3 linked regions of the Macaca fascicularis genome follow. The protein of the gene in region 1 interacts with the protein of each later gene in a pairwise test. Links are inferred from orthologs where the notes say so. Each region holds a gene or a part of one and is shown on either strand. Other genes may lie near its edges.

Region 1 (3,142 bases):
GAGCTAGAAACTCATCCTACACTAGGAGAAACACCCCAACCCAGGGTGACAGGGTTCTTAAAGTGGAAATCAGCTTCTCCAATTTCAGTCTTTTGATCCTAGATCTGCTTATTGCAATTATACAAATAAGGCTCCTTCTTCCTCTGTCAGTTCAACAAAAAGTGGAAGATTAAGATTTTCATGGACTCCTAGAATTTTAAAGCCAAAGGGGAATGTAAGAGATTGTCTCTTTCAAACCCCTACATCCGTCCAGGAGTGAAGCAACCTGTCCAAGTCACACAGTAATTAGAATTGAGCTGGACTCCTCCACTGTCTCTTCCCTTACCAGCTGAACAATGCAGTGTCAATTTCCTTTTACTTGATGTAGTCAAATCATGCCCCGACTTTTCCAACCATTCTACTCCCCTTCAGGATTCTACTAGTCAAATTGTTAAACTTTACCTGGAAACAGTTGTGGAAATGACTGCCATTATATTAACAGGGTCAGATGAAAACACTTGTTTATCAACATTTTATATGCTTTATTGAAAGTTGACAAGTGCAACAGTTAAATACAGTGACACCTTACAACTGTGTAGAGAACATGCACAGAAACATATGCATATAACTACTATACAGGTGATATGCAGAAACCCCTACTGGGAAATCCATTTCATTAGCTAGAATTGAGCATTTTTCAAAGTATTCAACCAGCTCAATTGAAAGACTTCAGTGAACAGGGATTTACTTCAGGGTATTCAGCAGCTAGATTTCAGATTACACAAAGTGAGTAACTGTGCCAAATTCTTCAAATTTCTTTAGGTGTGGTTTTTGTCATGTAGCAGTTTTTATGTAGATCGATATATAAAAGTCCACACCTCCTCAGACGGCCAATGGAACATCTAAATTTCAATCTGTACAACCTAAGTAGTAGTTACAGTCCTCTATTGTACAAAATAGTTACACTACATACACAAATATACAATAAGCAAAACAACCTTCATGGTAAGATAGCCTAGGTCCCAGCTACCTGTCACCATTTTGTCACTCTCATAGTTTTGTGTCATCCACTGTTTGAGAAGAGGCACAGTACTATTGTTTTTTATGGATTTTGGTGACAGTCGTCAAATCTGTACAGTGAACTCTGCTCCCCCTCACTTTAGTCTTTTTACCCTCCTTTCAAGCTCCTCCTGGGGGGAGGAGAGAGGCGAGTCCAGTGAGGAGCTCCATCGCTTCACAACCCCATGTAGGACACTAAGCGCAAGCAGGAGAGAGAACCCTTGGACGTGAGGGGTAGGGAGCCGGAAGGGATGGAAAGGCACACAGCTCCTGAGCATGAATTAAACCATTTCTCAGATATCTGCCAAGCTGCATGAGGTCCCAGTACATCCATGCTAATTCTCGGATTAACCTTTAATTCACCCAACTAAGAAATTTCTCCAAGCCATAAGCATATGAGTGTTTAATACTGGAAAAGAGAGAATGGCATATGTCAGTCTCACGTCTCTTTCGCAGTGAGCAATGAAATGGGTGACTGTGGAGGCAGATTCTCCCTAGCACATCTTCTCCGTCTGTTCAGTTCACACGCAGCAGCCAGTTCTGCGGGGGCATAGGCAGCTATGCGGTTGGTCCTGAGCCCTGCGATGCTGGCTGGGCGGGGGGCTGTGTGGTGCCCTGTGGCTGGGTGGTGGCAGGTGGGGAGCCAGTCTGCAGCTGTGCCTGAAACTGGGCAAGCTGCTCAGGACTGGCCAGTGTCTTCAGCAGATTGTTCTCCTGCTCCAGCTGGGAATTTTTCTCTATTAGTTCTTTGATTTGCTCTTTGAGGACCTCCACTTCTTCTCTGACCGCATACATCAAATGGCTTTTCACTAGATCCTGCAAAGAAGAGAGAAAAGGTTTAACTCACTATTTGCTATTTTCTGGACTCTGAGTTTCTAAGACATTATTTTATATGGCTCTCGCTATTTACATATTCCGCCTTTAAAGTTCGTTCAATGACACTTGGGGAATCTGAATACAGCCATGACTGTACAATACTTGAGTTTAACGTATAAATGATCAAGCTTTGTAAAAGTCTGTGCTTCTCTACAGACGTTGGCCAGAAACGCCCAAGTCCGGCTTCCTATCTGAGACTGGGCCAGAGCCGGGCGCTGGGTCCCCGACTGAGACCAGCAGCGGGGATGTTCAGGCCACAGCGCGCCCACCGCGTCCCCGCCCCCAGGCCCCGCCCCACGCTCGCCCGGAGCCGCCTCCTTCAGCACCGGCTGCAGCCAGTTCCTACCGAACATGTTGCCGCATTTTCTTCCCTCCACCCCCCCCCCCCCCCCCGCTTTTCGTGATTAAGCTGACATCACAGAAACCTGGGTAGACGTCGCAGCCAATGGGAGCCCGAGTTATTTATAGCTCCGAATTAAAGGTTCAGAGTTTGCCTAGCAACAGTGGGCAGAGAATCCCGTGAGAAGAGCCACAGGCGCTGCTCCAATAACAAAGAACGGCCAAGGCGGAAATAAAAAATAGGAGAAATCCAGGCGCAGGCTAAGAAAACAAAACTTTTCTCCGATTCTTCTTCATTGTGCAGAAGCCCGCGCCACCGGGGACCCGTTTGTGCACCGTCTAGAAGGCCCTTACCCAGGATCCCGACTTCTGGGGCCCTCCCCACCTCCCGGCTCCCTAGTAAAATGTTAGGATTCCTAGTAAAGCCACATCGCTAAAGATGTGCTCACGACCAGCCGAAGGAGACACTGGGCCAGCGCTTGCTTCCCTAATAAATCCCCAGCAAAAAGGGTCACCGTGAGAAAATCCCCTTGTGTGAAACCAGTCCCGGGAAGGAGACTATTTACTACCCACAGGGCCCCTTTCTCCCTCCACGGCTGCCGTGTTAGGTGGCTCCACGCTGGCCGAATGGAGACAGCGCCGGCATTTCTATGCGCATCAAGAGCAATCGACATCATCTGAACTTAGGGATGCACTGGTTCCACGAAACATCTTATTTTTGTGCTGTGCCCACATTTACTATAAATGATTTTTCATCAGTACATACCATAGCTTGCTCGATTTTGTTGTCAATAGCTACCACACTTGCACCAGAGGAGCTGAAAAAGAGGAGGGAAAAAGGTCATCGATAAATGGTATCTTAAGCGTCCAAGATAAAAAGGATCTTGCA
Region 2 (3,934 bases), on another chromosome or scaffold:
AGAGGATACTGGTGGCCCAGACCCTCGGTTCTGGTGGAGGAGGGTGTTGGGGTCCTGGTTCCTGGGTTCTGGGGGCTGGGGACGGGTGGGCCAAGGTCCTGACCTCCTGTGCCTCCTGATGCCTCCGGGTTGAACTCTCGCATTGGTCCATGCGCTCCTGGTGCAAGAACCGGCAGCCTTCAGGCACCAGCAGGGCCTCACTCACAAATTCACCAGCTGGGGAAGCACGGGACACCAGGGTGAGACCCTCCTACAGCACCAACCCCACCCTCCTCAGAATCCAGATATTTTATCCTCAGAGGCTTCTCTGACCCACTTAGGACACAAGCACCCACCCCCTTAATGTGGGCCCGAGAGAGGGGCTCAGAATTTTGCCCCTCGGAAACTCCCACCTCAGTTCCCCTCTCCCCGCCTGGGACTCACGCAGGCAGCGGAAGGGCACAACCTGGTGGTGGGGGTGGGTGCAGCTGCCGCTCCGGGCACCCCCGCACCAGCGCTCCATGGGGATGGCCTGGGTAGCCTGCTCTACACGTGCGATCTGCAGCTCCGGGTACATCTGGGGGGGTTAAATGGGGGCAATCAGCCCACAGCCCCGCCTCTGCCAGCCACCCCTTTCCAGTAGTCAGGTCCCCTTTCTTCCCTCCCTCCCTCCCTCCTTTCTCTCTCTCTCTCTCTGTCTTTCTCTCTTTCTCTCTTTCGGAGATTTGCTCTTGTCGCCCAGGCTGGAGTGCAATGGTACAATCTCGGCTCACTGCAACTTCCTCCTCCCAGGTTCAAGCTATTCTCCTGTCTCAGCCTCCCGAGTAGTTGGGATTACAGGCACGCACCACCATGCCCGGCTAATTTTTGTATTTTTAGTAAAGACAGGGTTTCGCCATGTTGGCCAGGCTGGTCTCGAACTTCTGACCTCAGGTGATCCGTCCGCCTCCGCCTCCCCAAGTGCTGCGATGACAGGCGTGAGCCACTGCGCCCGGCCAGGTCCGTTTTCAAGGCTATCTTTTTTCCTGTGCTGTTTCTTTCTGAAGGTCCCTCTAAGCCCACCTCTCTGGTCACCCCTCCCCGCAGTCAGATTCGTCTCCCCAAAGGTCTCACCCTCCTTTTAGCCCTGCCTTTTCCTCTATTTCGCCTCTCCAAAGCTCTCCCTTCCCATTACAGACTTGTCTTTTCGTGGCCACGCCCCCCAGCTCTCCGCGCTTTCATTGGGCTCCACCCCTTTCCCCATCTCGCTGGTCCTTAAGGTCTCTTTCTGTCTTAGCCCCGCCTATCCTTTCGCCACTCCCCACTACACCTCTGCTTTTTACAAAGACCACCAGATTCCTAAATTCCACTTCTTCTCTGGCTATCTCGCGGTTCTCCCCCTTTCCTGACTTAGTATTTCAAAACAGGTCCCCTGCCCTAGCATAGTTGCACCTCTTTATTGGCCACGTCTGCTAGCTTCCACGTCTTAGATCCCGCGGCACCTTGGACCACGCCTTTTTCAAGTGTAGCTTTCTACGGGCGGCCCCGCCTCGTTTGGGGCCCGCTTTCCCGCTGGCCCCGCCCCTCCCGCTCGGCCCCGCCCACCTGTCTGCAGTACTCCAGCACGCGCTGCGGGTCCCGGAGACAGCGTCGAGAGCGCTGTGGGTCTGGTTCCCAGCGGCCGGTGCGCAGGTCCCGGTGAAGGGTTAGGCGCCCGCATAGTCCAGCCACCTGGGCCGACCCCTGGGCCTGGATGGAAGTGGAGGGGATAATGAGGGCCCGGGGGGCGTTGGCATGAGGGTCCCCTGGTTCTTTGCTCCCTAGGACCGAGACCCCCAGCACCAGCCCCCTCCCCCAAGCACCGTTGTGCACACCGCCTCCATGGAGGCACCGTTCCCTGGGAAACAGCTCCCGTAGGGCGGGGGCGCCCTAGCTCTCCCGTTGCTATGGCGACCCGGGTCCCCCGGGATTCTTTCTGCCTTGTTGCCGCGGAGACAGACTCCGCCCCGACCCCAGCTCAGCCGCTCTGGAGCCCGAAGGGGTTAAACCTGAATCGCGGAGGAGGCCTGAACCCAGGCGTTCTGGCCCCTCCTCCCTCCATCCCTTGCTCAGGCTCCGGTTGCAGGGTGCAAAGCTGATAAGGCCTGGCTTCAGGGGCCTACAGTCCTGGACACCAGGTCCTTGAGGACTGGAGAGCTACATCTGGTTGGGGTGGGTGGTGACTGAAGGACCGGACTCCTGGGTCCTAGGAGGCTGCAAGGGCCTCCATATGGGTCCAGAGAATACAAGGGGTCTGGATTATTGGATCTAAGTGCCTCGCTGCTTGGTGGGTCCTATGTCCAGGAGGGAGGGGGTTGGGACCTAGTCACCTGGGTCTGGAGAGGGGGCTGGACTTCTGGGACCAGGGGCTCTGAATAGACCAGTTCCTATGCTCGGGGTGGGAGGGGGCTGGGACGTCGGAGGATGGGGGAGCTGGGGCCTGGAACCCTGGGTTCATAAATGCGGTTGGGGGCGCCTGGGGGCTGACCACCTGGCTGGAAAGACCGCGCTTTCTGTCCTGTACATGTCCGCGCTGGCGTCCAAAGACCCGGTCCCGCCCCTTCCCCCATCCCCCAGGACCCGGCCCGGCCTCACCTCGGCCGCGCCGGGGCTCCCACCGGCCAGGCTCCCGATGGCGGGCTGCGCGCGCAGAAGCAGCAGCAATAGTGGCAGCAGCAGCGGCAGCGGCGGCTGGCCCGGGCGGCGACTTAGACCGCGAGCAGCGGGGCTGGCTGGCCCCATGTCCCGGCCCTTGAGCCCTCACGTCCCCTGCACTCCCGCCCGGCCCGGCCCCAGCGGTGACAGGAGCTCCCAGCGCCACCGCCGCCACCTCCTCCTCCCGCCGCCCCCGGGCTGCGCCGGCGCCGCCAGCCACGCCCCGCGCCGGCCCCGCCTTCCTGGCTAGGACAATAGCGTGGCGGCTCCGCGCAGAGTGGAGCAGCTCGGGAACCCCGGGCGGGAGCCTGCGCCAGGCCCCCGCCCCTGGAGATTCCAGGCGTCCCGCCCCATGAAGGGCCCAGCCAGGAGTCCTGCTATGGGCTCAGCCCGTTGTGGATTTTGAGTCCTCCCGCAGGACTCTCACCCTCTTTAGACCCAGACACTCACAGTTTTGTCCTTCTCCAAGGATGCAAGCATCAGAGACCCCCGTCCCCTAGTAAATTCCTCTATTGAGGGCTCAGGAATACAGGCCTCCAAAATGTCCCGTCAAGATGGCAGCAGTTGAGACCCAGTCCCCTCCTCTTTCAGATCCAGAAGTCTGGGCACCTTCTCTCTCAGGACCAGAGACCAAGCCCCCAGCCCATTCTCCCTCAGAACCAGTTCAGTCTTCCTGCTCTGCTTCCCAAGGGTCCCAGGGGCCTGGATCTTTAACTCCTAGCTCAAGGATCCATGAACCAAAGCCCCCGGGACCTTTCTTTAAGGATCACCCAAGCAGGCACCAGCACCATGCCCACTGTGGATGCAGCGCCCCAGGATTAGGGTCTGGATCTCCACCCTTGCTGTAAGGACCAGGGGATTGCCATTTTCATGCCCATAGTCTCCTTCTCTGTCCCACTTCAGGGCTCACTCGTTTGTCTCCTCTAATGAGAGTGTAGAACTCTGTCTTTCCCAGGACCCCTGGGGCAGCCCTGTCACATGTGTGCAACTGTGTGGACATCTATGCGTGTGTCTGTGCATACATGCCAATGTGTGTGTCTTTTCTGTTTGCAACTCGTGTGTGTGTGTGTGTGTGTGTGCGTGTGTGTATGAAGATGTATATTAAAAGAGTCCATGACTGGGCACAGTGGCTCACGCCTGTAATACCAGCACTTTGGGAGGCCTAGGTAGGCGTATCACTTGAGGTCAGGAGTTTGAGACCAGCCTGGCCAACAGGATGAAATCCTGTCTCTACAAACAAATACAAAAATTAGCTGGGTGTGGTGGTGTGCACCTGTAGTCC
Region 3 (3,982 bases), on another chromosome or scaffold:
AAGCAACTGGAAAAACCATTGGATATTCATAGTAGGGTTTCATAATCACTATTCCAACTGGTCATGAGCAGTTCAATGCATAAGCGCTCATTAAGAATGTCTTTACAGGCCAGGTGCAGTGGCTCATGCCTGTAATCCTAGCAGTTGGGAGGCCAAGGCAGGCGGATCGCTTGAGCCCAGGAGTTCGCGATCAGCCTGGGCAACATGGCAAGATCCTGTCCCTACAAAAATTACAAAAACTAGCTGGGCACGGTGGCATGTGCCTGTAGTCCCAGCTACTTGAGAGGCTGAAGTGGGAGGATCACCTGAGCCTGGGAGGCAGAGGCTGCAGTGAGCCGAGATGGCACCAAGGCACACGAGACTGAGTGACAGAGACCCTGTCTCAAAATAAATAAATAAATAAATAAATAAATAAATAAGTCTTCGCAGCCATATTAATAGGTAGGGGAAATGAAGTGCCCAGAATCAGTGTTTCTAGCTCATAGTGGAACAACAGATCCTTAATAGCCTGAAAAGTTTTGTACAGGCTTAAACATCTGTACAAAACTCCAAACCTTTCCTTTCATTGTTACTACTTTTGATTCTTTGATAGCTATATCTTGCGGATTTGTTTGTTTGTAATAGTGAGATACAAACTCAAGGGTTTAAAGGTTTAACCAGTTTGGCAAAACTACTAAGTCATAGATTGCGGACTGGAACTCTGGCCTATCTTGCACCAAGCTCCTCTTTGCTGGAAAAGGTCAAATTTTACTTTTGAAACAAACAAACAAACAAATATGTAAAATGTTGTCCCAATAAATTTAAGTTGCAAGTTTTATATGAATTTACTGCTAATTTTACAGCTGAAACACTTCAGTGTATAGTCAGTTACTTTTCTGTCAGGAACTCAATAGAACAGGCATTACAGCATATGTTCTTACATGCTGGTCTACTAACGTGCTAGACTAGTTGCATCATGATAACTAAGGTCCTTCCACTGGTCAGAGGTCAAGGTTTTCAAATCCCCTGATTATTAACATTATTAGGCAAGTTTAAACTACTTGTACACAATAAACATTCAATATTTGTTTAGTGAGGAAGGACACAAATCCTACTAGTTGTAAGAAGAGATTTAAAGTTTCTCCAAGCACACTCAGATTCAAGTGGGAAAACTTTTACGTTAAAACATTAACATTTACTTATGGTCATGTATTTCGCATTATGATATGCACTTCAAAGTTCATTCTCTAAAAACATTTAATTTTGTTTTCATTTGGATATGTGAAGCACACCTGTAAAAGTCAACAAAGATGAAAGTTGGAAGATTTCCTGGAATTCAAAAGTGCTACCTCCTTTTTGTAAAATCCATCATAATGTGTATTTATGCTAAACACCCAAATAACTAACAAAAGAGACCTTGTGAATGATCCTGGCAGCTAAAGAGCAATCTTACAGACGGATGATCAACAACTGCAGTTTTGACTGCAGCTGTTACTGGTGTGGATTAAAATTAAACAATGAGCAAAACAGCACAAGTAACAATATGGAGCATAAATAACAGCGTGGAAGTGTTTGGGTACCGACTGGCTCAGGGTACCTGGCACTGAAGATTCAAGAAGGTGAACAGAGAATGCTAAGGTTGATAAGAGGTGCCTATTCGCCTATTTTGTGGACAACCTTAAAACGGTTTAAAAACTAGGAGGGAAGTTTAAAAACGGGGGGTAAAAAACGACAACAAGAAAAACCTAGCCCTAGAAACGTTTCTCGGAATAAAGTTAGATGTCTTCAGGACACCCTGTTAACAGGGGTGCCAACCGGTTGGAAACTTGTAGGTTCCAGTATTCACTTTTTTCCCCAAAGTCTACAATGTGACTGAAAAGTACTGAGAATTCCAGCGAGAATAAGGCAGACGTGATCTGAAATTTATGATGCTGTCTACCAAAAACTTGGGCTCGAGGCCAGCACCTAAAAAAACAAAATCTAAAGATCAGGCCACAAAAGAAATCAGGACACCCTCAAGCACAGATTACCTTACGCTGCCTCCAGACAAACCTACCAGATTACTAGCCTCTTGTCACCAAAAAAGGGAAACAAGGGCTGAGAAAGAAGCCGGGCGCGAAGCCCTGGCCTTCGAAGGTTCGCTTTAAGAACAGAAAGGCACTGATTTCCTCAGTCCTCGCCCCTTGGGGCGAGCTGGGCAAGTCGGGGCAGCAGGCAGCTGTGTCGCCAGCACAAGGCGTGAATCGGGGAGGAGGGCGTGGCACCTTCTCTTCCCGTTCGCTCGAGCAGGCGCGACCCACGGGCATCGTCTCCCTAGAGAGCACTCAGACATCTATGACACGACGCCTTGCCTCACCTCTCCGCAGGGCCGGCGAGAAATGCCCGCGGGGGCTTGAAACCCAACGATCCCCTCTGCCTTGGGAGAGCAAGAGCCGCCAAGCCTGGCGACTATTCATGGCCTCAGAGTTTTCCGGCGGACGGGAGGCGGAAGACGGGGTAAATCTCGCACAGGCTTTCGGGCAAGGTAGTTCTGGCACCGCAGGAATGCTGGGAATTGTAGTTTTCGCTCTGTCACAAGACCACCTTCCAGCGCGGGCGCCACAGTGGTGCCACGAAACTGGGCCTCTTCGCAGGCCGACCCACAGTTCACGAGCAATGCTCAGCGCTGTCCCGCTACTCCCACCGCCCCTTCCCGACCTGTGAACGCCTTTACCGTCTTAGGAAGGCGGGATCTTGTCGGAGAACCTTCTGGCGCCTGTTTCCTGGCAGCGGCGCATAGTCCAACAGCTGGCTCCCCCAAGATTGCCAGCGGCCATTAAGCGCTTGGGTCGGGGGAGATGGAGTCGTATTTAGCCGCACAGCAGTCTGGGACCTGAAGTTCTCGGCCGCTGAGCATTCTGGGTGATTGCGTAGTGCGGAGGCCAAAGAAACCTTCTGGGAAGTGTAGTCCAGCAAGTCGCTCACTGACCGTGCAGCGTCACATCCTGCTGCTTCGCCGTCTGGTGCACGGGAGGACCAACTAATTTTAGTCGGTATATTCTTTCTTTAGGGAAGATGAATTCCTCCGTTTCTGCGAGAAATTCCTTAATTTTTCACCATTTATCCTTCCCAGACCTCACTCAAGACTTTGCAGCGCATAGTAAAATGCTGAAAGCATCAATGCACAGTAGTTGTATTAAAATGCACCAATACTCATGAGTATTCTCGGTAAATCCTAAAATGGCACACAGTTGTGCGGTTGCAGTGGCTTATTCTCGCAAGATTCTAAACAATTACGGCTAGGTTTCTATCTATATGTATTCAAAGCTTTGTGAGAGCTACGTAACGAACACCATTTCTAAGGCCCGAAGCACACTGAAAGAAGAACAAAACTTAATTTCCGCCCACAAGTGCTTTAACAGACAATTCATGAAGAGGAAATATAAATCGCTATTTAAAACATTAGGATGGCCAGGAGTGGTGGCTCACACCTGTAATCCCAGCACTTTTGAGAGGCCGAGGCGGGCGGATCACCTGAGGTCGGGAGTTTGAGACCAACCTGACCAACATGAAGAGACCCTGTCTATATTAAAAATACAGAATTAGCCAGGCGTGGTGGCACATACCTGTAATCCCAGCTACTCGGGAGGCTGAGGCAGGAGAATCGCTTGAACTCTGGAGGCGGAGGTTGCAGTGAGTCGAGATCACACCATTGCACTCCAGCCTGGGCGACAGAGCGAGATTCCATCTAAAAAAAAAAAAAAGGGAAAAAAGTTTAATCTCACCAGTTTCAAAAAACAAAAAGCAAAACCCTAGAGTATGTCGAGGTTTGGGGTCCCAACGATCCCAACAGGATGTAAGCATAGTACTCAACAGGTGGTTCTTCAGCCCACACCCCTCTGTGCCTCTCCCCCTTTCCTCATCTAATGATATTCAGTGTCTCTTGTTTTCATGTTTACCATCATATAGTCAATGTTTAGCTCCTAAGTGAGAACATGTGTGTTTGGTTTTCTGTTCTTGGTAT

Evidence for each region.
Region 2: the proteins of TSC22D1 (region 1) and APLP1 interact in a two-hybrid assay, tested with the Homo sapiens proteins (2 studies listed by BioGRID and IntAct). The link is inferred for Macaca fascicularis from reciprocal best matches to the Homo sapiens genes TSC22D1 and APLP1.
Region 3: the proteins of TSC22D1 (region 1) and CCDC90B interact in a two-hybrid assay, tested with the Homo sapiens proteins (2 studies listed by BioGRID and IntAct). The link is inferred for Macaca fascicularis from reciprocal best matches to the Homo sapiens genes TSC22D1 and CCDC90B.

The regions. Positions count from the first base shown.
Region 1 is NC_088391.1:23,687,825-23,690,966, forward strand, and holds the end of TSC22D1 (TSC22 domain family protein 1), read right to left. Parts: intron 3,072-3,142; coding exon 3,020-3,071; intron 1,855-3,019; coding exon 1,597-1,854; 3' UTR 501-1,596; downstream 1-500. UniProt on the Homo sapiens protein: Transcriptional repressor. Acts on the C-type natriuretic peptide (CNP) promoter. Acts to promote CASP3-mediated apoptosis.
Region 2 is NC_088393.1:43,098,853-43,102,786, reverse strand, and holds the start of APLP1 (amyloid beta precursor like protein 1), read right to left. Parts: upstream 2,801-3,934; 5' UTR 2,740-2,800; coding exon 2,593-2,739; intron 1,708-2,592; coding exon 1,564-1,707; intron 557-1,563; coding exon 424-556; intron 217-423; coding exon 104-216; intron 1-103. UniProt on the Homo sapiens protein: May play a role in postsynaptic function. The C-terminal gamma-secretase processed fragment, ALID1, activates transcription activation through APBB1 (Fe65) binding. Couples to JIP signal transduction through C-terminal binding.
Region 3 is NC_088388.1:82,266,453-82,270,434, forward strand, and holds the start of CCDC90B (coiled-coil domain-containing protein 90B, mitochondrial), read right to left. Parts: upstream 2,801-3,982; 5' UTR 2,693-2,800; intron 2,527-2,692; 5' UTR 2,436-2,526; coding exon 2,336-2,435; intron 1-2,335.